Saccharomyces cerevisiae S288C: one gene and its partners. Changing the gene in region 1 together with any one later gene gives a genetic interaction. Each region holds a gene or a part of one and is shown on either strand. Other genes may lie near its edges.

The links.
Region 2: mutations in PRM6 (region 1) and RBG2 together harm fitness more than expected from each alone (negative genetic interaction), as found in Saccharomyces cerevisiae (one large-scale study listed by BioGRID).
Region 3: mutations in PRM6 (region 1) and AFG2 together harm fitness more than expected from each alone (negative genetic interaction), as found in Saccharomyces cerevisiae (one large-scale study listed by BioGRID).

What each region holds. Positions count from the first base shown.
Region 1 is NC_001145.3:179,381-182,799, forward strand, and holds PRM6 (pheromone-regulated K(+) transporter PRM6), read right to left. Parts: upstream 1,696-3,419; coding exon 637-1,695; downstream 1-636. Other genes in the region: GSF2 (Gsf2p), read left to right, coding at 1-257; PRP39 (Prp39p), read left to right, coding at 2,094-3,419. UniProt on the Saccharomyces cerevisiae protein: Low affinity potassium transporter that, with KCH1, participates in high-affinity Ca(2+) influx system (HACS) activation during the response to mating pheromone. Directly promotes K(+) influx and HACS may electrochemically respond to this K(+) influx.
Region 2 is NC_001139.9:842,247-845,460, forward strand, and holds RBG2 (Rbg2p), read left to right. Parts: upstream 1-1,607; coding exon 1,608-2,714; downstream 2,715-3,214. Other genes in the region: methionine--tRNA ligase MSM1, read right to left, coding at 1-305; transporter YIP1, read right to left, coding at 599-1,345.
Region 3 is NC_001144.5:912,050-916,789, forward strand, and holds AFG2 (AAA family ATPase AFG2), read right to left. Parts: upstream 2,844-4,740; coding exon 501-2,843; downstream 1-500. Other genes in the region: tethering complex ATP-binding subunit VPS33, read right to left, coding at 1-261; SKI complex RNA helicase subunit SKI2, read right to left, coding at 3,107-4,740. UniProt on the Saccharomyces cerevisiae protein: ATP-dependent chaperone which uses the energy provided by ATP hydrolysis to generate mechanical force to disassemble protein complexes.

The DNA of each region.
Region 1 (3,419 bases):
GGAAATTCATTTTAAGTGAAGAATACTTTGTGGAGCTGGAAAACAATCTAAAGAAGATCTTGGAAGAGTATGACGGGGATATTGGTAAGATGAATGCTGAAATTAGGAGGTTTAGAAGGTTTGGTATTTATGAACCAGATGAAAAACTGGCCTCGCTAGTTAAGCTCAGAAGAGAAATTGCTGATGAGAAAGAGAAAGCATCAAACAATGATGCTACTTTTGGTATAAAAAAGAATGATTTGAAAAAATCTAATTAATTGTAAAACCAAAACACTACCATCCAGACTTTTTTTTTATTCAACCATAGCCTTTAACTACTACTACTACTACTAGTACTACTACTATTACTATTACTATTACTACTACTAGAGGGCCTTTTTTTACTCCTAGTATTTTTGTACTATCCTATTTACTCTCGTTGTTTTTATTAGTTTTTTCACTCTTTTTTTCAATTCCTCACGAATCTACTGTTTTCGTAGTGCTTTTTTTTGTTTCATTGTTTATAGCCATCAATGGTTTTTGTTACTATCATTATCATTATAAATATTTCATACAATATATACAATATATATACAATAAATGAGAATCGATTTACTTTTAATGCATTTTTGCAGTCAAAAAAAGCTTCGTTTACATTTATATGTATTTATGTTTGTATTTCTGGGGGAAATATGCCTTTATGGGCGTATATACTCTTTCGTACGTTTCTACATCCGAGTAGCAGTAGTAACTCGGTATTGTGCTTTCGTCGCCATAATCAGGACTATCATAATCGAATTTTTTTTGCGTTTTGTTGTCACCACATATGGTCCCTTCTTCCTCATCATCTATCAATATTCCCAATTCGTAGACAGTTCTACTTAAATTCTCGTCAATGACTTTAGACACATACTTTCGTAGTTTCAATTCATACCCCTTAACCTTCCTTTTACTAGACAAAAATCTCGGACGTATAAAAATGATGAATATTATTATGCTTAGAATTAATTTGCTTATTAAAATTACCCATATGATAAACGAGAACAACATGAAGGACAAGATCACACTTTCTTCGTAATTTGTCTTAGCAATATGTTTTATCTTGTTTATTATTCCATTTAGGTCATCTAAATTACCTAGGCTTTGAGTACTATGGGTTCCGCTACTGGTCTCATTCGAAACTGTCAGTAAAACTGACCACAAAGTTAATCCGTTGATTATTTGCCTTGGAGAGTCACCGAACAATAGCCTCAAACATCCACTGATTTCAAAATATGAAAAGAATAACCACTTACTGAATTTTTTCTCATCAGTCAGCACTATTAGTTCGAAAATTTGATACTTTTTGAAATTGAACAAGCAATTTATTAATCTGCTAATGCCATTCATGTAGTTCGATGTAATCTCTTTCTTCCTATACACTCTCAATCCAATTACCAACTCCCAAATTAATATTAATGAGGAGCATAATATGCATCCGCTAAACAACCATTTTGAAATACGGAATTCCAAGAATGGTTGGATGATATTGTTCGACCATGTGTTAAATGCCAGTAATTTAATACACGTGTATATATCAGAAAAAAACATGGCCACATGTAGTATCGACTGACACCAGGTGTATAGAATATACTGTAATTTTGTGGTCCACTTCGCAGTAGGAATAAGATTTATGTCAATATCCTGGAATTTCAATTTTTGTAAACTTGATTCCATTATTTAGCGCTTTGTTGTCATTTTCCTTTCCCTCTTAGACAATGTGGTAAAAAATGCCAGCTCCAGGGCTTTCAATTAATCCATTATTGATTTTTAATCTGGAGGTTTGAGCATGGCTGAATAATTTATATACAAATATCTTTTTTTATTGTTTCAGATCATTCGTTTTCAGTATGATTTACTATCATTCATTTTCTTTTTCTTTACCATTTTACGTCGCCGTCGCACATCTTAAAACAAATTTAATACAGAGTTGAAAGTTTCAGACTTAAACAGAATTTACGCAAGAAAGTTTTCAAAGTCCTAAAGTAAAAACGCGCCTTCCACAGCCATTTCTTTGTTCAACAAAAAGTTTTGGCCCTTACTGCTATTGGATACTTGGCAATCCGTCTTTCGTTATGCCAGATGAAACAAATTTTACAATAGAAGATATTGAGCCTAGGCCTGATGCCCTTCGAGGTTTGGACACCCAGTTCCTTCAAGACAACACAGCATTAGTACAAGCATATCGTGGTTTAGACTGGTCAGATATTTCTTCGTTGACCCAAATGGTAGATGTTATAGAGCAAACAGTGGTTAAATATGGCAATCCAAATGATTCAATCAAATTGGCCTTGGAAACTATTTTATGGCAAATATTGCGTAAGTACCCTTTATTGTTTGGATTTTGGAAGAGGTTTGCTACTATTGAGTACCAGTTATTTGGTCTCAAGAAATCGATTGCTGTTCTGGCCACCTCGGTCAAATGGTTCCCAACTTCTCTGGAGTTATGGTGTGATTATTTGAATGTGTTGTGTGTTAATAACCCGAACGAAACGGATTTTATTAGGAATAATTTTGAAATTGCAAAGGATCTTATTGGCAAGCAGTTTCTATCACACCCTTTTTGGGACAAGTTTATAGAATTTGAAGTTGGGCAGAAGAATTGGCATAACGTTCAAAGAATATACGAGTACATTATTGAAGTTCCTCTACATCAGTATGCGCGGTTTTTCACATCTTACAAGAAGTTTTTAAATGAAAAAAATTTGAAGACAACAAGGAATATTGATATAGTTTTACGAAAAACACAAACAACAGTAAATGAAATTTGGCAGTTCGAATCGAAAATCAAACAGCCCTTCTTCAACCTGGGCCAAGTGTTAAATGATGATTTGGAAAATTGGTCGCGATATTTAAAATTTGTGACGGATCCTTCAAAATCCTTGGATAAAGAATTCGTAATGTCCGTTTTTGACAGATGTTTGATTCCTTGTCTTTACCATGAAAATACGTGGATGATGTATATTAAGTGGCTAACAAAGAAAAATATATCCGATGAAGTGGTAGTGGATATATACCAAAAAGCCAATACGTTCTTACCACTGGATTTCAAAACTTTGAGGTATGATTTTCTTAGGTTTTTGAAAAGAAAATATCGGTCAAATAATACCTTATTCAATAACATATTCAATGAGACAGTATCGCGTTATTTAAAGATTTGGCCCAACGACATATTACTTATGACGGAGTACCTTTGTATGTTGAAAAGACATTCTTTTAAGAATTCCTTAGATCAATCGCCAAAGGAAATTCTAGAGAAACAAACATCGTTTACTAAAATCCTAGAGACATCAATCACCAACTACATCAATAATCAAATTGATGCCAAGGTGCATTTACAGACCTTAATAAATGATAAAAACTTAAGCATAGTCGTGGTAGAATTGATAAAAACTACATGG
Region 2 (3,214 bases), on another chromosome or scaffold:
CTTGTATAATTAATGCCATATATTTTGTCTAATTGAACAAACTCTGGGTATAGCTTATCGACGAACTTTTTTGGCTGATCGAAGCCATTGCTTTCACTAGCACACTGGATTTTCAATCCATGTTCATCAGTACCTGTGGTAAAGAAGGATAGATTACCTTTAAATAATTGCCATCGATGGTAAACGTCACTTAATAAGCTGGAGTAAAGATGGCCGAGGTGCGGTTTGGCATTGGGATAGAAAATTGGCGTCGTTACGTGGGAGACCTTAGAGTACAGACGATGCACAATTGATCGACATTGCATGTTTTCTTTCGATCAAAACCTATGCTTTCCTTATTTACCTCTGGAGAATAGTAACATTAAAATTTACATTCTTTTTTCACAGTTGTGCGGATTTATTTGTTTGAAACCACCATTGGACTACGTTTTAGTTTTTAAAGAAAGAGAAGGCACTTCGTAATCCAATGTTGCCTAGTACTGGTATTGCTTGCACTATACAAGGAAGTAAGTGTGATTATGTAATGCTGTATACACTCTTTATTCAAACATAGTTCAGAAAAACATATATACAAATATCGCCCCTAAGCCAATTCCCTTCAGACAAAAATTACCATGAGGGCAAAAACACTGTAGAAAATCAACAGTGGGTAGGCAATTAGCAATCTTGCATTTTGCAATTGGAGCAAAGAATTTAAAAATCCAGACGAGGTCCAAGTACTCCAAATTACAAATAGTACTGATACAACATAACCTGTAGTGTTGTTCAAACCATGGAAAATGCCCAGTAAAGAAAGGAAACACAGAGGCAAAAAGCAGTATCCTAAGATGGACGCTGTATTGAAAAATTGTAGGTTCGTTTGAGTGGAAGTATCGTTATTGCTCATTAATTTCGATAGATTGTGCAAAGAAATGGTACCAAACAAAGCGACACCATAGATATATCCAAAATGAACCTTTCCAGCCATCAATAGAAAAAGTCCGAATAACAAAAAGAATATCAAAGGCCCAGCCAAATCTGAATCGTTTAGAATTTCTTGTGGCACACCACTACCAAAACGTATTGGTATAAGAACCATTTTAGTTTTCGTTATGATATGATCGAAATTTATTCCAATTTCCTCCAGTAATGGAGGTTCATGTGGATATCCCTTAGTTGAAAGAGCATGTAAAATACCTACAGGCAAAGGGTCGGGGGCAACACCCAAATTGTTATCGTTGCCAGTATTAGAAGAACCGACGGTATTTTGAAAACTCATTGACCCTTGGGGAACGGCAAATTGTGCAGAAGGCTGATAAAAGCCACCGCCATTATTAGCATTGTTACTAGTATTGTAGAAAGACATCTCGAGAGGGACTAATAGTTGTCTTGCAGTACTTCCCGTCCAATTTGTAGCTGTTATAAGATGACTTGGTTCGTGTCACGTAGTTACCTCACTCAAATAGCAAAATAATCAATGGTTACCCGAAGTGAAAATTTTCGTGATAATAGCGATGAGATTTAAACCCAGTTATAAAAGTCGTACAATATTGAAGCTGTTGATATTGGAATTGAACAAGTACTAACGAGATACGCATTATCAAAACTAACGTAACAAGCACTACAAAATGGGTATTATCGACAAAATCAAAGCCATCGAAGAAGAAATGGCCAGAACCCAAAAAAATAAGGCCACAGAACATCATCTGGGTCTTTTGAAGGGGAAATTGGCTAGATACAGACAACAACTGCTAGCTGATGAAGCTGGTAGTGGTGGTGGAGGAGGGTCTGGTTTTGAAGTGGCAAAATCAGGTGACGCTAGAGTAGTTTTAATAGGTTACCCCTCCGTCGGTAAGTCCTCCTTATTGGGTAAAATTACCACCACCAAGTCTGAGATCGCTCATTATGCTTTCACGACATTGACATCCGTTCCTGGTGTATTGAAGTACCAAGGTGCAGAAATCCAAATTGTGGATCTTCCAGGTATTATTTATGGTGCTTCGCAGGGTAAAGGTCGTGGTAGGCAAGTTGTTGCAACAGCAAGGACCGCAGATCTAGTATTAATGGTTTTAGATGCCACAAAGAGTGAACATCAAAGAGCATCTTTGGAGAAGGAGCTGGAAAATGTAGGCATCAGGCTTAATAAAGAGAAACCAAATATTTACTATAAGAAAAAAGAAACTGGTGGCGTGAAAGTTACGTTTACCTCCCCTCCAAAGACCAATTTAACCGAACAGGCAATCAAAATGATCTTGAGAGATTATCGTATCCATAATGCAGAAGTTCTGGTAAGAGATGACCAATGTACGATTGATGATTTTATCGATGTTATTAACGAACAACATAGAAATTATGTCAAATGTCTTTATGTGTATAATAAGATAGATGCAGTATCATTAGAAGAGGTGGATAAACTTGCCAGAGAGCCAAACACCGTTGTTATGTCCTGTGAAATGGATTTGGGATTACAAGACGTCGTTGAAGAAATTTGGTACCAGCTGAACTTGAGTCGTGTGTATACAAAGAAGAGAGGTGTTAGACCAGTATTTGATGATCCTCTAGTGGTAAGAAATAATTCCACTATTGGTGACTTATGTCATGGTATCCACAGGGATTTCAAAGATAAGTTCAAATACGCATTGGTTTGGGGTTCTTCTGCCAAACATTCTCCTCAGAAGTGCGGCTTAAACCACAGGATTGATGATGAAGATGTAGTTTCTTTATTCGCGAAATAGTATAAATGAATAGATTTTAAAGAAACATGAAAAAACAAGATCAGCATCGAGAACTGTAGTACGGAGCAGAGATTTTGCATGACTAAACGGACTCATTTTCCTTGTAGTAGAAATAAATGCTGAAAATAGGTTTTTTAGTGAGAACCGGAAGGTGTTACTTTCATGGTATATTCGTATATACTTTTATAATGTAATTTGAAGAGCTCCGTTCATAAAAATTGTCATTCTGGGCTTCAAATGAATAAATAAACCCGAATGACAATGAAATCTCGAAATTATAATAGTGGTACCTAGTGTAGTAAGTATAAAGGAACCTTCTCTGTTGTATCTCAGAATGGGATACCTCAGTATGACAATACATCATCCTAAACGTTCATAAAACACATATGAAACAACCTTACAGCAAAACGAACAGAATGAGCAACATGAAAATAAAACTCTGCCTTCCTTAGCTAACCTACTCTAACGTATAAGTATCTGAACAATTGGTTTAGATCCAA
Region 3 (4,740 bases), on another chromosome or scaffold:
AATAAGAAAAATAAGATCCATTTGCGGAACGCTGCCTAAGGCACTCGGTAAATCGTCACTTAGCTGATCATCGAGTAACGTAATTTTCCTTACAGGAGTTGATTGAGTCAAATCTTGGAAAGTTAGCAAACTATTGAGTACTGGCAATACACTTGGTTGAACCACAAGAACTTCATCATTTTGAGATATCTCATTTAAGGTAGCACATAGTCCATCGGCATTTGTTAATGAAAATTTCTTAGTATTCCAAAATCTATTCATCGTGAAATGATTTGATAAAGTTGGAGATGGGCAATATCAGCTTTTTCTTCCTTTCTCGAATTTTCTATCTTTTAACTAATTAACATATAACTAGTTCCAATTTGCTAACCTTTATGATATTTTATTTATGTATGTTCGTGTGAAGTGATTAATATATTATACAAAATGACCGGAGTTCAGTATAATTTCTATCTACTATTATTGAGCACACAAAGGAAAAGAATTGACTATGAACAAGCTTACGAAGATGAACCGCTTCTTAGAGCAAACTCTTCATAATAAGAGAGCATTTCTGGAGTAATGCCCCTAGCAATTCCTTTAAAAGCTTTCTCAAAATGACGTAATTCCACTTTTGCGACATCTAAATCTTCCATTATGGCAGCCAAGCCCGCTTCTTGACAAAGCAGCACAACTTCAGCTCCGGAATAACCTTCTGTACGGTCTGCCAATTCATGAAGATCGACTCCAGACTCTTCTGTATTAAATTTCTTTGTGCACTTCTTTAAGATTTCCAAGCGGGCGTTTACGTCTGGAGGGCCAACGTAAATGTGTCTATCTAACCTACCAGGCCTTAGAAGAGCAGCATCTATTTCATCAGGTCTATTCGTCGCCGCTACAATAACTACACCCTTTAACTCTTCAACACCATCAATCTCATTGAGTAAAGATGTGAGCACGTGATTAGCTGCAGAGGTGGAACTCCCGTCTCTATCAGGAGATAATGCATCGATTTCATCAAAGAAGATAATACTTGGAGCTGCAGAGCGTGCTTTGCGGAAAATTTCTCTTATAGCTCTTTCGGATTCCCCTACATACTTGTTAAAAATTTCAGGCCCTTTCACAGCTAAGAAGTTGATACCCGATTCTGTAGCGAGAGCTTTTGCGGTTAATGTCTTGGAGCAACCTGGCGGCCCGTAAAGTAATACACCTTTTGGTGCAGAAATTCCCAGCCTGGCAAAAGTCTCCGAAGCCTCCAAAGGCAACTGTATCATTTCTTTCATCTTTGTTTTAAGCTCTTCTTGGCCGCCAATGTCAGACCAATAAACTTTTGGCATTTCTAAGAAGATTTCTCTCATTGCGCTGGGTCTGATATCAACCATGGCGCTCTCCACATCTTTCAATGTAACTTTTAGGGAAAACTTGTCAATATTGGCGTCTGTTCCTAGTCCTCGTTGTATCGTCTTCATAACTGATTCTCTGCAGAGAGCAGTTAAATCAGCACCAACATAGCCATGCGTTTTAGAAGCAATGTACTTGATCGCTTCAGAATCTAATACGTGACGATCCGAGGACATTCTTGAGAATTGCTTAGTTAAAATGTCAAATCTGGCATCAACGTCTGGTATACCAATTTCTACTTCTTGGTCAAACCTGCCAGGTCTCCTGAGAGCAGGGTCGACAGAATTAGGCCTGTTTGTAGCAGCAATTACCACCACTTTACCTGCAGCGCCCATGCCATCCATTAGGGTAAGCAATGTAGCCACGACTCTGCTCTCAACTTCACCGGAGTCATCGTTTGCTCTATTTGGTGCTATTGAATCAATTTCGTCAATGAAAATAATGGAAGGCTGGTACTTCCTTGCTTCATTAAAAATATCTCTTAATGCCGCTTCCGTTTCACCAAGATATTTGGAGACGATTGAGGGGCCATTAATGGTTAGGACGTGTGCGTTGGACGTATTTGCTACAACTCTCAAAAGCATAGTTTTACCAGTACCTGGGGGTCCGTGAAGAAGTATACCTCGAGGGGGAGAAACACCAAAGCTACTAAATAGCGTCGGTTGATGAAGAGGTATTTCAATAGCACTTTTCAGTGATTCAATCTCCTTGTCTAAGCCGCCCACTGCTGCATAGGATAAGGGCTCCGGAAGATTGTATTTACGATTTGCCTGGGTTTCTTTCGAAAAAGTTATATGTGTGGAGCCTTTTCTGAATATAAAAGGTGGAGATAGATAAAACAGGTTATCTAATCCACCGTACATATCGTCCATGTTAAGATCTAGTTGGCTGACGTCGGGAAGCGAATCATCGCTCGCATCTGTAATTACGACATCAATGCTTTCATCACCTGCTTTTGTTTTTAAGTTTTGAAAAATCATTCCAGGCATTATAACGCCACTATCATCCAGTAGCTTTTGAATTACTTTTTCCTCCATACATTCCAAAATATTATATCCTTGTAAGGACCCCACGGTAACCTTAGTGGCATAAGGTGGTTGCACCTGGGCTTTCTTTAATTCTAGACGATCACCAAGGATAAGGTTCCCAACAGATCGTATAGTTGTGGAAAGGGTGATAACATTAACAGGATGTACTTCTTCATCACCCGCTCTAGCTATTACTAAAATACCATTTTCGCCTATCTTACCGACAGTACAAAATGATCCCGGATTTATCTCAAGCGAGGATAATACGTTAGGATGAATATATGCTGTGCATGTTTCCTTGCCATGATCTTTAGAAGGATGTGGTCTGGTAATAAATTCAGCAGGCAATTTAAATTTGGATGCTTTTGCATCAGCACTATTAGAACTTGCCGATGATTTCTTTTTGGAACCGGAAGAACTAGATTTAGGAGCCATTTTCCTTTCTATGATTGGGCAATTTTGAGAATGGGCAATGTTGAGAATTCAATTGTATATTGTTCGCATATTAGTTTATGTGATGAGGCAATATAAAATTTTCTTACAATAGTCCGCCCGTTGCTTACATGAAAGAAAAAAAAAATAAAGATGGATCGAAGTGGACTTAAAAACTATGTATACGTGTGTGTGTGTGTGTGCAATAAGAGTTCGAAAACATTAACTTTTATAAACATGACTCACATTGAGAATAAATGAGCTCTCTATAAATACAAACTTGCGGCGAAAACAATATCTCTCTTAATCAACTCTTGAGCCCTGCTCATCTTCATATGTAATGTGGAATTACCAATAATAATAGAGGCAGTCTTAACTTCGCGGCAAATTTCGTCTAGCCAAGTGATAACTCTGACTACAGTACCTTCAGCCTCGGGGCTCATTTCCATGATTTCTTTGAATGATAAACCACGGGCCCACTCATACACCACATTCATCATGGCAAACCTTTTTCTGTCCAAAAACTCAGCTTCATCCTGAGTTAATGGAATCTGATGCGTATTGAAAACACAAAGCATTTTCTTGTAAATTTCCTCAATTCTTTGTTTACCCTTTGCTAGCCTTGGTGTGACAATAGGAGGCTCCTCTTCCCTGGTTTTCCCCTCATAAACAAATACTGATAATAAGGCTACAATCTCTTCAGGTTCAAAGCTTCCTAAAAAGTTGTCTAAAATTAATTCAGTTAAAACTAACTCATAACCAGAATTAATTTCACATGCCACTCTACCTTTTAACAGCACGTTGTGGTTTTGGTCGATAAATTCAGTGTCTTTCAGAACAGCCAATCTCTTTTCATAATCGGGTAGTAAGCTCAGATTTTGGTCAGACATCAAATGGTACAATTCTTCAATTTTCTTTTTAATTACATGCGCCTTAAACTTGGGAACAATGTGTTGGCTTAGGTTGGGACATTTAATGCTTTTTAGTTTGAATATCTCATCCCTTATATTTGTACGGTCTAACAATATTTGGTGAATTTTTAAACCTTGCTTTTCAATGTTAATTGCTTCTTTTAGCGTTTTGCCGTCCAAAATGTTATTTGTTTCAGCGTTAAACTCGTTCAAAGCGGCAACATCCTTTTTAATCACTTTTCCCAAGGGTGCGGCAAACTTGCGTTTAGTGATCACTTCAATAGCCGTCACAGGAACTTCTTCCATATAAAAATCAGTCTTCTGGAATTTAGGGAAGTTCCTTCTTCTGTATCCATCCGCTTTTGGAAAGTATATTAAATGATTTGGCTCACCATTTGGGAGTTTGTATGGTTTTGTGAACGTCATAATGACACAAACAGCATCCTTCAGAGAAACTTTAAATACAAATCCTAATTTCAAGCAATCATTGGGGTCCCTAAAAGCAACGAGTCTGCCCTCTTTCAAGATATGCAATATCGAAGGCGATTTAACCATTTCTTGCATTAGGTTGACTGTTGCCTCCTTATATGCCAGCATCAATTCCAAAAACTTTTCGATATCATTATCACAGATTTCACAACTTTTGTACTCTATGGTTTGTAATTCCTCTTGTAATACTTTGATTTGTTTTTCATGTTCAGGTTGTAAAGTTTCTTTGGCATTCTCACTAAAAGAATACTTGATCATTTCTTCAACTCTCAACGCCTCAATTCTTAAAAGATTTAATATCATATTGTATGTTAATCTAAACTGAGACTGCAACCTCGTCGGAACACCCATCGTTACTTCTTTGAACGTAGCAATAGATAAAGGACTATTATATGCCATCACAATGACTGTACCAGTGGAATCCAAGCCCCTTCTACCAGCTCTACCAGCCATTTGGGTAAACTCACCTGGAGTCAGTTCTCTTAATCCATTACCATCAT